Saccharomyces cerevisiae S288C: one gene and its partners. The protein of the gene in region 1 binds, or shares a complex with, the protein of each later gene. Links are inferred from orthologs where the notes say so. Each region holds a gene or a part of one and is shown in the gene's direction. Other genes may lie near its edges.

Region 1 (8,034 bases):
GAAACTTTATTAATTTAAGTAGATTGGATTATATCTATCAACATAGTTTTTGTACCATCTATATACTATAAAAAAGTTTTTTGCTTTCCACTAGTGCAGACGCTAATAGTGCTGTTTTGTTAGTGGTATGATATATGTCATATCTTCATTGAATAACCTACTCGAGTGCATCTGTAAATGCACAAACATGTATTATCAATTGAGCTGTAGTAATTTAGGCATAACAAAAAGGTGCAAGATCTCATGGCACCTATTCGTTCGTAGGAGATTTATTGTCACCTTTTTAGTTTTACAGGATCGAAAAAATCTATGGTCTTGTATGGTGAATGATCTATATGTCTTCTCTTTGAATTTCTAGCTAGCTCATCAAAGCCGCTTTCATTTATTCCAGTCTCTTTACTCACGGAATATTGTTTAGTAACATTTCGCATGCTTTTCTCAGACCTTCGAAAAGCTCTTTTACATTCGAGCTTGATCTTTTTGTAATCATGCAACGTTCTCATCCACAGCTCACCAATGAATTCCGATATTATATAAATTTGGCCCTCAGTACCGCAAAGTAAAAATAGAGGTATGACGCCTTCCAACCTTTGACTATTGAAATTTGGACATATTTGAAGGTTTTGAAATCCATCTGGGATGGCCGCCAGTGAGATTATCTTATTAGGTAACCGAATTTTGAGGTATGGCATAGCCAACCCGCCCTTATCAACTGATAATTTAGAATCTTCGTATATTGTCAAGGTATTATCAATACCAATGGTGGCAACATAAGATCTATTGGAATATTTCAACGTTGCACAAGAAAGGTCTGATAATCGACCTAATAGATAGTTCTTATCACTCGCTAAACAATCGTTTTTAGGTTCTCTTAGCTTCTTAGGAATTATTTTAGTCGCCACTTGTGTAATGCTTCCCAACCGCTTAAAACCCAAGTAGGGACATTCAGGGTACTCTGATGGATATACTATGGACGTCCTAATTGGAAAGCGGGTTCTCAAAAAATCTCTCAAGATCTCAAATTGAACCAGATAATCACCACTCATATAAGCTGGAAGACCTATATGGTTAATCGATGAAAGTGCTGGGAAGGAATAGGCCTCTAAAATTTCCGCGCCCTCTTTTAGCATGTTTATTTTATATGCTGCTATGCCACTATCACCAGAAAATAAAACCAAGTTGCACTCATAGTATATGAACACCGAGAATATACAATCTTCGAGATAATTCGCGTACAATTGGGTAATGTTATTGTTTCTAATTTCAAACAGCCAGAATTTTGTACGTTTTTCACCAACTCCTAAGCATACAACAAACTTATTACCATAAAAGGGTCTCTGTGATAAGTAGATTGAGTTTTGTTCTGGCCACAGTGGCTTCACAACGGCATGTAAATACTTTTCATCCGAGAAACTGAATGTGGAAACTGCCTTCATTGAAGCATAATTGAATAGCATCAACTTATACTGCCTACTATTGCTATCGACCAAACACACCACGGCCTGATTGAGGTTATTTGGAACAGTATAGAGCTCTACGGGAATGCTAGGGAGGTAAAAGATATGATTTTCTAATTGAGGTTTTAATGAAGTCATCTGCTTAGTGAAACCTTCACGGTAAAACGTGCTACCAAACTCAAAGATGCTTATTCGAGAATCATAATCTAAAACACAAAGAGAGAACAGTGCTTTACCGGGTCGAATTCTCATTCGTCTTGGAACTAAGCCTAACTGTATGCAACCATAAGACATGTTTTGAAGATTTAACAAAATTATTTCCTTATCGTTGTAAAGGAAAACCAAAGGTAAGGAAGGAATCGTATCCAACAGTTCTAATTTCTGATCGTATAACGAATGAATCTCTAAATCCACTCTCAAAAAATTTGATTCTGATTTGTAGACTCTTACGCAGCCAGTGTATGATGATGCGATGACATAAATCGAGTCGTGTTTATGCTTTTTGCTTAGCCAAGATATTTTTATCAATTGATCATAGGCTATGAAAGAATAGTCTGGATGTGATGTAGCCACTTTCTTTTGATTGGCATTCCATACCGAAAACACACCGTCCAAGTAAATGACAAAAAGGTATTTCTCGGCACCATCTGAGAAACAGCTCACAATACTCTCTTTAGAATTGAGCCCATGGATAAAAAATTCTTCTTTTTTACGTAGAAAACCAGATTTTGCCTCAAGTATCGAAATCCTGAGCTTGGAGTTCTGTACGGGATAACAAAACATGGTGGAAGAGTTGTGGTTCGACTGCAAGAAATCGACCTGCCTAAATTCTCCGGTAGAACCATCCATACCGGCTTTCAAAACTTTTCCCGTCCTAGAAACAAATAGACCGTAATCATAAGGCTCATCCATTAAAAATATTCCGTTCTTATAAATCAACCCACCTGATTCATATGCAAATTCGTCACCACCATTAAGTGCTAAATCTGTAACCCAAAAATCAGTTACATTCTCTACTAGCGCTTTGGAGGAAGTCACTAACTTGAACAGGGTTTTGTCATATACCAAAATTTTCTTTTCTAAAAATCCTCTTCTTGAGTTAAAACTTCCACCCAAAAGCAGTGAATCAATATCTGTCCCCTTGTTTCCAATAACTTGTGATGCCAGGTAAACTTTGTTTGTATAAGCGGGACCGCTTTTCACCTTTTCTAATTTTGAACCTCGATGATCTTTCGATATAAAATTTACTCCATTTATTCTTGTCACCGCTATATACTTTTCACGTGGGAGCTGCAAAATAACATCGCATAGATCATGTTTAGGAGGCTTGAACACTCTTTCTTTTGTCCATTGTAGTTCTTTCAGGACGTGGTCTCTATGTAACGACCTAGTGTGTATCTTGGCAGTGTATTTGTTAGCATACACGTCAGAAATTGTCAAGAGAATGACTGATCTTTCATATATCACATCATAAGAATCTTTTAGAAATTGGTAGTTTTCTACATTTGGGAGACCTTTATTATTGAAAAAAGCCCCGTTTGTAAGCCCACTTGCTTTTATATTTATTATTTGAGTGTAGTTAGTAGTCAACACTACAATGGTATGGCCGCAAACTACCTTCATATAACAAAATTCATTATCACATATCGGCAAAAGATTGTATTGGCGGTACTCGTTTAAATCAAATTTCCTACTTCCATGCTTTCCAGCAAGATTGTATTCCTTTAAAAACAGGTTTTCACTATAGCAACTCTTAAGTAGGCAAAGAAAATAAACGTGTGATTTACCTGTGCATGTGGCGTCGTCAAGCAAATCCTCCCTGCTAATAAAATCAAAGGAGATAATTTCTTCGCCATCGGTGGCATAAAATCTTTCGACTATTCCTTCTCTGAAGTCAAAGGAGTAAATTGTCGTACATAACGTATGCAAATCACTATCATATGATATGTTTTTATTGCAAGTGTATAAAACACCCTCAAAGGAAGCATTTAACCAGCTGGAAGTTAATAAAGAAATAGTATCCAGTTTCGGAGCCACATTAGAGTCGTAGATAATTTCAAATTTGTTATTTTCGCATTTGAATCCCTTAATGGAACCGTCGTTAAACATTAGCAGGTGACAGAAGGAAGCTGACATGAACATCGGTACAGTTGCGTAGTTAACAACGAACGGTCCATCTAAAGCGAACTCAACCTTCGCTTTCAATTCGTTGGACGTTCCGGTATACAATCCATAGCTAAAACATAAAAAGTAACTTCCTTCGTGATGAAGACAACTTACCAGCTTCTCAGCCTCATCTTTTGATCTATAAGATGTTATGCATAAAGGTAAAAAGGCCGAATTGCTATCCAATTTTTTGCAGTCCGTTTCATCTTGTCTTGCCATTTTACGTGGCAATGGCTAGTGCAATATGCAATGCGCTAACGCTGACATTATAACACAATATATTTTTCTACCCTCCCTTTCGCTGAGTTGCGACCAGAATGTCTGTTTTTCAGTCATGTATTTCTTTCCGCTTTAGGCGTTCAGGCAAGCGCGTTCAGTTGAAAGCAAATAGAACCTATAACGACGAATACGCTTAAAGGAAGTATACAGGAAATAGAAAAAGAAGCGTACTGCATGTACTAAAAACCAAAAAAAACACCACATCGGCTCTCTGGTTGTATCCATACTTTCCCTAAAATTTTGTAACTCAAGAAAATACCTACATAAAACGATAATCAGTGGATTGCACTGATCAAGTCGAAAAACTCCGTACATGCCCGTCTATCCCTGTCTCATCCATATAAACTGAACTAGGTAGAAAAAAATACCTACCCTTTCTTTAACCGCCTGGTATATTAAATACCATTGTCAATTGAGAAGCTAACAGCCATTGTAAGAGTTATGTCCAGTGTCCGACTAAGACAAGGTAACCATACGTTGATAGCTATGAATACCCCAGAGGAAGATTATTCTTTCTCATAAATCCTTTTTATTGGTTTCAAAAATCCACCAATAAGTTCATATAGCTTGGGCGGCTATTCATGCGTAATATAATGTGCATGAAGTACGACCCATCGACTCTTAGAGCAAATGCTTCCTAAATTGAAATAACTAGCCGCCTTTAATTCGAGCCTTCTTGTCATCTTGTGTATTTCATCCTTTCAACTTCTCCTGTTCCACCTTTCACTCTAAGCTTCCCTATCATTTGGCCTCTTTCAGGTTCGTCCATAGCGCATCTTTTTCCTTTTAGACACTCCATAACGGACCAATCAGCGTTTTGCGCCATTTATCGGTCTTGGGTCACGTGCGGCGACGCGGAGGCTCCCTTATAAGGACTGGAAAAAGACCTGCAAGAACTATAGTTGGTTCTTGAATATCAAGTAATATATTACTTCTCTGTCGTAACTTTTTGTTGCTTTCAAGTTCAACGTCTTTTAAAAACCAAGAAATTATTGAACATAAATAATATCACTCTAACACTTATTAGGAAACCGAAAGGAGCAATAACAAACATGTTAGGAATAAGATCATCTGTCAAGACCTGCTTCAAGCCAATGTCTTTAACTTCCAAAAGACTGATTTCTCAATCTTTGCTGGCTAGCAAATCCACGTACAGGACCCCAAATTTTGATGACGTTTTAAAGGAAAATAACGATGCTGATAAAGGCCGTTCTTATGCTTACTTTATGGTCGGTGCTATGGGTCTTTTGTCATCTGCAGGTGCCAAATCAACCGTAGAAACCTTTATTTCATCTATGACCGCTACTGCCGATGTTTTGGCTATGGCTAAAGTTGAAGTTAATTTAGCGGCTATCCCATTGGGTAAAAACGTGGTTGTCAAATGGCAAGGTAAGCCTGTGTTCATTAGACACAGAACTCCTCATGAAATTCAGGAAGCCAACAGTGTGGATATGTCCGCTTTGAAGGACCCACAGACCGATGCTGACAGAGTCAAAGACCCTCAATGGTTAATTATGCTGGGTATTTGTACTCACTTAGGTTGTGTTCCAATTGGTGAAGCCGGTGATTTTGGTGGTTGGTTCTGTCCTTGCCATGGTTCACATTATGATATTTCCGGTAGAATCAGAAAGGGACCTGCCCCCTTAAACTTAGAAATTCCTGCTTATGAATTCGATGGTGATAAGGTCATTGTTGGTTAGGTTTGTTTTTCGTCCTCGAAAACTACATCTTTATTGTCTATTTGTTTCACCCTTATTTTGATTTTTCATTTACTATCCATTATGTTATGAACGGGAACTATACAACTAACCTAAGAATTTTGAAATCACAACAAAAATAATCAACATCACAGTCTCGAAGGGATTACGCTCAAAAAGGAACGAAAATCACTATACTGTATTCCCTGTTGATTTTCCTAAGAATATATTCTTATACAATATGGAGAAAACAAAAGGATAAGAAAAGAAAGGGGAAATAAAGAAGATTTGGACCTATTTATTACTACTTTTTTGTCTCACCATCTTCTTTTTCTATTCATAATATTTGATATTCCTTTATTTATCTGCATGTATTTATAATTAACGAAACTATTTATCTTCCCTCGTCCTGCCTTATCCTTCTTTTCTCCAAATGTTTTACCTAAGATTGGCCTGTATTTGAATATTGATGTCCAGAAGCAGAAGATTTCACATGTTGTATAAAGTATACAAGATTGTAAAAATGATTGAAGTATTTTTATATATGTATATTACCTATAAAATTTTTTATATTACGTACCGAAGGGGTTTTTTTAATGCTAAAGCGATTCATCTTGCTGTAGGTATATTTTTAAATCATCTGGAATATCTGTCCAGGAATTACTATCCCAGTCCATGAATTTCTTTTTTAATTGGGAGTATTTACTGTCAAATAATCTTGAATTGTATGTCGTTGCAAAATAACTTGCTTTTTGACCCATGTGGAGTTCCTGCCCTTCCTCATTATCAAAAAAGCCCCCATTGATTTCACTCCCGTTGCTATTATCTTGCTTATCATATTTATTTGAAACTTTATTACTTTTTAAATCAATACCTTCCAAATCTTGGAACAATTGCCTTACATATTCCGGCATATTGTCCGGTCTATACCTACGATCAAACTTAATTCTCCAATAGACTGACCAATGTAAACTGACATATTCGGGTACATAACGAGATCTTCCGAGGTTAGGTGTATGAAAATTTTGCCACTTTCCTTCTTTATTTTCCATTCGTATTCCAATGGGGAGCAGTTCCAATACCCACCACACCAATCTCATAAATTTATTTGCATGTCCACATTTAAGAGTAAAAGCATCCTTCACTTTTTCTTTTTCATCTTTCAAGCTCAATCTAGTCTCTTTTATATTTTTTAGACAATCTTCCATTCTCTCATTTCTGCCAGATTTATCCTCTCGGGCTCCATCCTCATTATCACTCACTCCTAGTAGGGAACATTTCTTTGGTGAGTTGAAACTAAGGTAATCATGTGTGTCTGCGAATAAAGATCCAATCGAAGTGTGTTTGGTAGCGAAATCATGTATTGCACCAGGTTTGAATTTAACACCAAATTTGATTGCCTCTGCTAAAATCCATCGCAGCGTTAAATTTGACAAGTTCTCTTCTGTCTCACAGTCAGGCGCCCAACCTCCACCAACGTCAGAATGATCACCTGGAAACCATTTTTCAATCAAGTCGGGTGTCATAGTCATTCTACTTGATGTACCGCTGCCTTGGATAGATTGAAGTTGGAAAATGGCTTCAATTCCTCTTGTTGAACATTCTGTATCTCTCGCGTATGAATTACCTTCTAAGAATGAGTTCAGGTCCAACAGCAACTCTGTAGTTTCCTCGCTTTTGCTCGATAACAACCTTCCAGGGTTATCAGGAATGAGTGGAGAAGGATTACTAATAGAATGTGCGCCACTTTTTAAAGTGTATTTTATCAAAGGATTTTCCGGGGTTAGATCACGCATTAATGCATTAGAAGTTGGCACCGGCGAACACTGGTCAGTTATATGATTACAATATGTCAATGAAAATAGTTTCGGAATGTACGGCATCGGAGTGAAACATAACTGCTTGAATTTTCCACGTCTTTCATCCAAGGATACGCAATGTCGAACATGCTCAACGATATTGCTTCTCTGGGTGCAAGGAAACAACCTGTCCCTTAATATTCCAACTGAGTTCACAGAATCGAATAAGCCTTGAAAATGTATCTTTACCTCGTAATCCCTAGAGAATGTTTTCTTGAATTCTTCAGCCAAGGTACTTGTGTACTGTAATTCATTAGGCTGCGAATCGTATTCCCATTTTTCATAGATTTGCCATGCCATTTTAACCATTTCTTCCAAACCTTTACTCAAAAGTCCGACTCTTTCAATCATTCCAGCAAGAACTCTTGCAATAAAAGCTCCTCTAGAAAAGCCAAACATATAAATTCTATCTCCTGGTTCAAAATACTTCATCAAAAAAAGATATGCAGAACATATGTGATTGTCTAAACTGAATGCGAACATAGAATCTAATAAATTTTGTAAGTGAGAAATAGTTAACCGTCTTCTGACATCAACAACAGCGTCAAATCCAACTGAACCAATTCCAGGTTGGTA
Region 2 (2,558 bases), on another chromosome or scaffold:
TCGCCCTAAGGACCATATCTGATGTACGAATGGAGGGATTGGACTCCGAAAGTATTATTTATGATCTAGCTTATACCTTCCTGTTGAAGAGTCTTCTTCCTACGATAAGAAGGTGCTTAGTCTTTATCAAAGTGCTACACGAATTAGTGAAAGATTCTGAAAATGAAACGCTGGTCATCAACGGTCATGAGGTTGAAGAAGAACTGGAATTCGAAGATACCGCCGAGTTTGTCAATAAGGCATTGAAAATGATTACTGAAAAAGAATCCTTAGTCGATCTTTTGACAACGCAGGAGTCCATTGTATCGCATCCATATTTGGAGAACATCCCATATGAATATTGTGGGATTATAAAACTGATAGATTTATCAAAATATTTGAATACTTACGTTACCCAATCTAAGGAAATCAAGCTACGTGAAGAGCGTTCTCAGCATATGAAGAATGCGGATAATCGATTAGATTTCAAAATATGTTTGACATGTGGTGTCAAAGTGCATTTAAGAGCGGACCGCCATGAAATGACCAAGCATTTGAATAAAAATTGTTTTAAACCATTTGGCGCCTTCCTGATGCCCAATTCAAGTGAAGTTTGTCTCCATTTGACACAGCCTCCTTCTAATATTTTTATATCTGCACCATATCTAAATTCGCATGGTGAAGTTGGTAGAAATGCCATGAGAAGAGGTGATTTAACCACCTTGAATTTGAAAAGATATGAGCACTTAAACAGATTATGGATTAACAATGAAATTCCAGGTTATATTAGTAGAGTAATGGGTGACGAATTTCGAGTGACTATACTTTCCAATGGTTTCTTGTTTGCATTTAATAGAGAACCAAGGCCAAGAAGAATACCTCCAACAGATGAAGATGATGAAGATATGGAAGAGGGAGAAGACGGGTTTTTTACGGAGGGAAATGACGAAATGGATGTTGATGATGAAACTGGACAGGCCGCCAACTTATTTGGGGTTGGCGCAGAAGGTATTGCTGGTGGCGGAGTACGTGATTTTTTCCAATTCTTCGAAAACTTTAGGAACACTCTACAACCGCAGGGAAATGGCGATGATGATGCACCTCAGAATCCCCCACCAATATTGCAGTTCTTAGGACCTCAATTTGATGGAGCTACTATCATAAGAAATACAAATCCAAGAAACCTCGATGAGGATGACTCTGATGATAATGATGACTCTGATGAGCGAGAGATTTGGTAGATTCAAGCCCTCTACTATGTTTTATAGTTGACATATTTGTATATAAAAACTTATACATTATTAAACATTTGCGCGTCGATTGACTTTTATTTATTATTAACAAAGAAGTAATACCAACCTAATTACAAATACTTCGAAGTGACTATCATAAGTTTCCTTATCTAGCGAAGGCAACTTTTGAACTCCCCAGTTGTTAATATGTATCATTATACACGACCCAATCAAACGCGGGGAAGTCAATGCCGAAAGAATTCTAGGACCTAAAAGCTGCTCAATCCTTGGGCCTTTCCCTAATGACATCCCCTCTCAAACTTTAGCTTAGCAGTTGTATTTAATGTCCTGTCACGGATAGTCAATAATCGTTGAAGGTTGATTTTCATATCCTTCGCAATTTCGTAAAGCAACAATAGCAATACGGACTAAAATGGTATGTTGGTGTGTGTGTGTGCTGCTTCACATTTCAGGCTAAAAATGTTATCCGTGGAATCTTCCTTAGCCAAGTATCATGGGCTTTGGAAATTAGTTTCCCACCGATGAGCGCAACGACTTAGCGAAGCTTATGAAATTGGTGACAGCAGCTCTATGAATATGTTCCATGCGTTTCCATTCAGGTTACTAACAATGCATAAATTATGAGTAGTCTTTTTCATCACTATATAAAACCTTTTTCAAACGAAACGCTGTTTTTGTTGGTACTATCTTTGCAGGTGCCTTTGTTTTCCAAACTGTATTTGATACTGCTATTACTTCATGGTACGAGAATCACAACAAAGGAAAATTATGGAAAGATGTCAAGGCTCGAATAGCTGCAGGCGATGGAGACGACGATGATGAGTAAACGCTGATTATGTCACACATATACGTGCAAACGCTCTCTCTCTCTCTCAAGCTATATAAGTGGCACTCGTCTTATTTATTATTTTTTTATTTTGGCTGGTTGTTCATGTTCAACCCAACCTCATAAAGGCACTCAACTTCATATTTTGACACAAATCTATGTCTCGCCAAAGCGCATTCAAATTTCAGAATGGAAATAGACACGAACGAGCCTGTCTGTCAGATGTTCACAAAATCCTTATTATAATTTTATATTCTACTAAAGGAAAAAGAGAATTAGGAAAAAGAATAACTCATTTTATGTATATACATATATTTTGTACATATCTATACCAAGCAAGTATAGTGCAATACTGTTCTTCGACGTTATTAAACGTAATAGCATTTTCTTGGTATCCTTTGAATCTTATATACAAGTACGAGTACATACTGCGCAGTAAATTGATCCTGATGGTGTGTTTAGATTTCGCCAGAAGCGGAGGCGTTCTGGATTCTGGAGAT
Region 3 (2,303 bases), on another chromosome or scaffold:
AGATTGTTCTTCTATCAGTTTTCATTTTAACTTTAAAAACTCAACCAACAGGTATTGGACTGACATAGGCACAATAAACTCAAAAATATTACGTAGAAATGGCTTCAGAAAAAGAAATTAGGAGAGAGAGATTCTTGAACGTTTTCCCTAAATTAGTAGAGGAATTGAACGCATCGCTTTTGGCTTACGGTATGCCTAAGGAAGCATGTGACTGGTATGCCCACTCATTGAACTACAACACTCCAGGCGGTAAGCTAAATAGAGGTTTGTCCGTTGTGGACACGTATGCTATTCTCTCCAACAAGACCGTTGAACAATTGGGGCAAGAAGAATACGAAAAGGTTGCCATTCTAGGTTGGTGCATTGAGTTGTTGCAGGCTTACTTCTTGGTCGCCGATGATATGATGGACAAGTCCATTACCAGAAGAGGCCAACCATGTTGGTACAAGGTTCCTGAAGTTGGGGAAATTGCCATCAATGACGCATTCATGTTAGAGGCTGCTATCTACAAGCTTTTGAAATCTCACTTCAGAAACGAAAAATACTACATAGATATCACCGAATTGTTCCATGAGGTCACCTTCCAAACCGAATTGGGCCAATTGATGGACTTAATCACTGCACCTGAAGACAAAGTCGACTTGAGTAAGTTCTCCCTAAAGAAGCACTCCTTCATAGTTACTTTCAAGACTGCTTACTATTCTTTCTACTTGCCTGTCGCATTGGCCATGTACGTTGCCGGTATCACGGATGAAAAGGATTTGAAACAAGCCAGAGATGTCTTGATTCCATTGGGTGAATACTTCCAAATTCAAGATGACTACTTAGACTGCTTCGGTACCCCAGAACAGATCGGTAAGATCGGTACAGATATCCAAGATAACAAATGTTCTTGGGTAATCAACAAGGCATTGGAACTTGCTTCCGCAGAACAAAGAAAGACTTTAGACGAAAATTACGGTAAGAAGGACTCAGTCGCAGAAGCCAAATGCAAAAAGATTTTCAATGACTTGAAAATTGAACAGCTATACCACGAATATGAAGAGTCTATTGCCAAGGATTTGAAGGCCAAAATTTCTCAGGTCGATGAGTCTCGTGGCTTCAAAGCTGATGTCTTAACTGCGTTCTTGAACAAAGTTTACAAGAGAAGCAAATAGAACTAACGCTAATCGATAAAACATTAGATTTCAAACTAGATAAGGACCATGTATAAGAACTATATACTTCCAATATAATATAGTATAAGCTTTAAGATAGTATCTCTCGATCTACCGTTCCACGTGACTAGTCCAAGGATTTTTTTTAAGCCAATGAAAATGAAGAAATGCGTGATCGGAAATTACGGGTAGTACGAGAAGGAAACTTGAGCCACCCCCCAAATTTTATTCATATAATAATAGGAAAAGCAACGACCTCATCTCTCGAACATTGTTTACTTGAGCAAGTCCGATTAAGAGTAAGTTGTCGTACGTTAAATACAAATAATCAACAAAACACTACACAAAAACTTCTACGATAATGGGTCCTCCAAGCGGTAAAACTTACATGGGATGGTGGGGTCACATGGGTGGTCCAAAGCAAAAAGGTATAACCTCATATGCTGTGTCTCCATATGCTCAAAAGCCATTACAAGGTATTTTCCATAACGCTGTATTCAATAGTTTTAGAAGATTTAAGTCTCAATTTCTATATGTATTAATACCTGCGGGAATTTATTGGTACTGGTGGAAGAACGGTAACGAGTATAATGAATTTCTGTACAGCAAAGCTGGTAGAGAAGAGCTGGAAAGAGTTAATGTTTAATATTGTTTCCATGCCTCTACATTACATCGATCTTTTGATCTTCTAAAAACTTACATATATATTCTGTTTATAAAACAAGAGCAAATAACCCCCATATATTTATTCAGTCAGTCTATTTATTTACTTACAGTATCAGTAATAATAAATACTTAAGCATTTTTTGTTTTGTATATCTTTATTTACTAACCTTGGTATGTAAGTGTCTATAAACTACACAGCATTTTGTTTTCCTCATCCAGGAGCTTTGTAGTAATTGTTCAATGGTGATTCTCTTCGTGGGGTCGACCTGGAACGTTCTATATAGTGCAATTTTCCTCAACCTATTCAGTTCGCTACTAACATGTCTTAATTCCTCAAATAGATAAAACTGTCCATCATCTTTAATTTCACTGAGAAATGATTTAAAAAGAGAATCCTTTTCAGGAATGGCGATTTTCCAAAGATACTGTCCCATGACCATTGTACAGTAAACAATACCACAACTCCAACAATCTACCAGA

What was found.
Region 2: the proteins of RIP1 (region 1) and QCR9 are in contact, whole or in part, in a crystal structure (PDB 4PD4), measured with the Saccharomyces cerevisiae proteins. Residues at the interface, in NP_010890.3 of Saccharomyces cerevisiae: Asp48 (codon at 5,096), Asp50 (codon at 5,102), Lys51 (codon at 5,105), Arg53 (codon at 5,111), Ser54 (codon at 5,114), Tyr55 (codon at 5,117), Tyr57 (codon at 5,123), Phe58 (codon at 5,126), Gly61 (codon at 5,135), Gly64 (codon at 5,144), Leu65 (codon at 5,147), Leu66 (codon at 5,150), Ser68 (codon at 5,156), Ala69 (codon at 5,159), Lys72 (codon at 5,168), Ser73 (codon at 5,171), Glu76 (codon at 5,180); in NP_011699.1 of Saccharomyces cerevisiae: Ser2 (codon at 1,861), Phe3 (codon at 1,864), Ser4 (codon at 1,867), Tyr7 (codon at 1,876), Lys8 (codon at 1,879), Arg13 (codon at 1,894), Asn14 (codon at 1,897), Ala15 (codon at 1,900), Val16 (codon at 1,903), Ile21 (codon at 1,918), Phe22 (codon at 1,921), Gly24 (codon at 1,927), Ala25 (codon at 1,930), Phe26 (codon at 1,933), Phe28 (codon at 1,939), Gln29 (codon at 1,942).
Region 3: the proteins of RIP1 (region 1) and QCR8 are in contact, whole or in part, in a cryo-EM structure (PDB 8ABI), measured with the Yarrowia lipolytica proteins. The link is inferred for Saccharomyces cerevisiae S288C from one-to-one orthologs. Residues at the interface, in XP_499709.1 of Yarrowia lipolytica: Thr42, Ile45, Pro46, Phe48, Thr49, Pro50, Tyr51, Leu52, Lys53, Arg56, Asn61, Arg62, Ser65, Tyr66; in XP_504875.1 of Yarrowia lipolytica: Ala23, Tyr25, Thr26, Ile27, Phe30, Ala31, Ala32, Arg33, Ala36.

The regions. Positions count from the first base shown.
Region 1 is NC_001137.3:102,306-110,339, forward strand, and holds RIP1 (ubiquinol--cytochrome-c reductase catalytic subunit RIP1), read left to right. Parts: upstream 1-4,954; coding exon 4,955-5,602; downstream 5,603-8,034. Other genes in the region: RNA binding protein SNU13, read left to right, coding at 1-18; YEL025C (uncharacterized protein), read right to left, coding at 276-3,842; YEL023C (uncharacterized protein), read right to left, coding at 6,199-8,034. UniProt on the Saccharomyces cerevisiae protein: Component of the ubiquinol-cytochrome c oxidoreductase, a multisubunit transmembrane complex that is part of the mitochondrial electron transport chain which drives oxidative phosphorylation.
Region 2 is NC_001139.9:858,563-861,120, reverse strand, and holds QCR9 (ubiquinol--cytochrome-c reductase subunit 9), read left to right. Parts: upstream 1-1,644; coding exon 1,645-1,647; intron 1,648-1,860; coding exon 1,861-2,058; downstream 2,059-2,558. Other genes in the region: E3 ubiquitin-protein ligase UBR1, read left to right, coding at 1-1,220; protein translocase subunit TIM13, read right to left, coding at 2,517-2,558. UniProt on the Saccharomyces cerevisiae protein: Component of the ubiquinol-cytochrome c oxidoreductase, a multisubunit transmembrane complex that is part of the mitochondrial electron transport chain which drives oxidative phosphorylation.
Region 3 is NC_001142.9:104,916-107,218, forward strand, and holds QCR8 (ubiquinol--cytochrome-c reductase subunit 8), read left to right. Parts: upstream 1-1,518; coding exon 1,519-1,803; downstream 1,804-2,303. Other genes in the region: ERG20 (bifunctional (2E,6E)-farnesyl diphosphate synthase/dimethylallyltranstransferase), read left to right, coding at 99-1,157; protein kinase HAL5, read right to left, coding at 1,979-2,303. UniProt on the Saccharomyces cerevisiae protein: Component of the ubiquinol-cytochrome c oxidoreductase, a multisubunit transmembrane complex that is part of the mitochondrial electron transport chain which drives oxidative phosphorylation.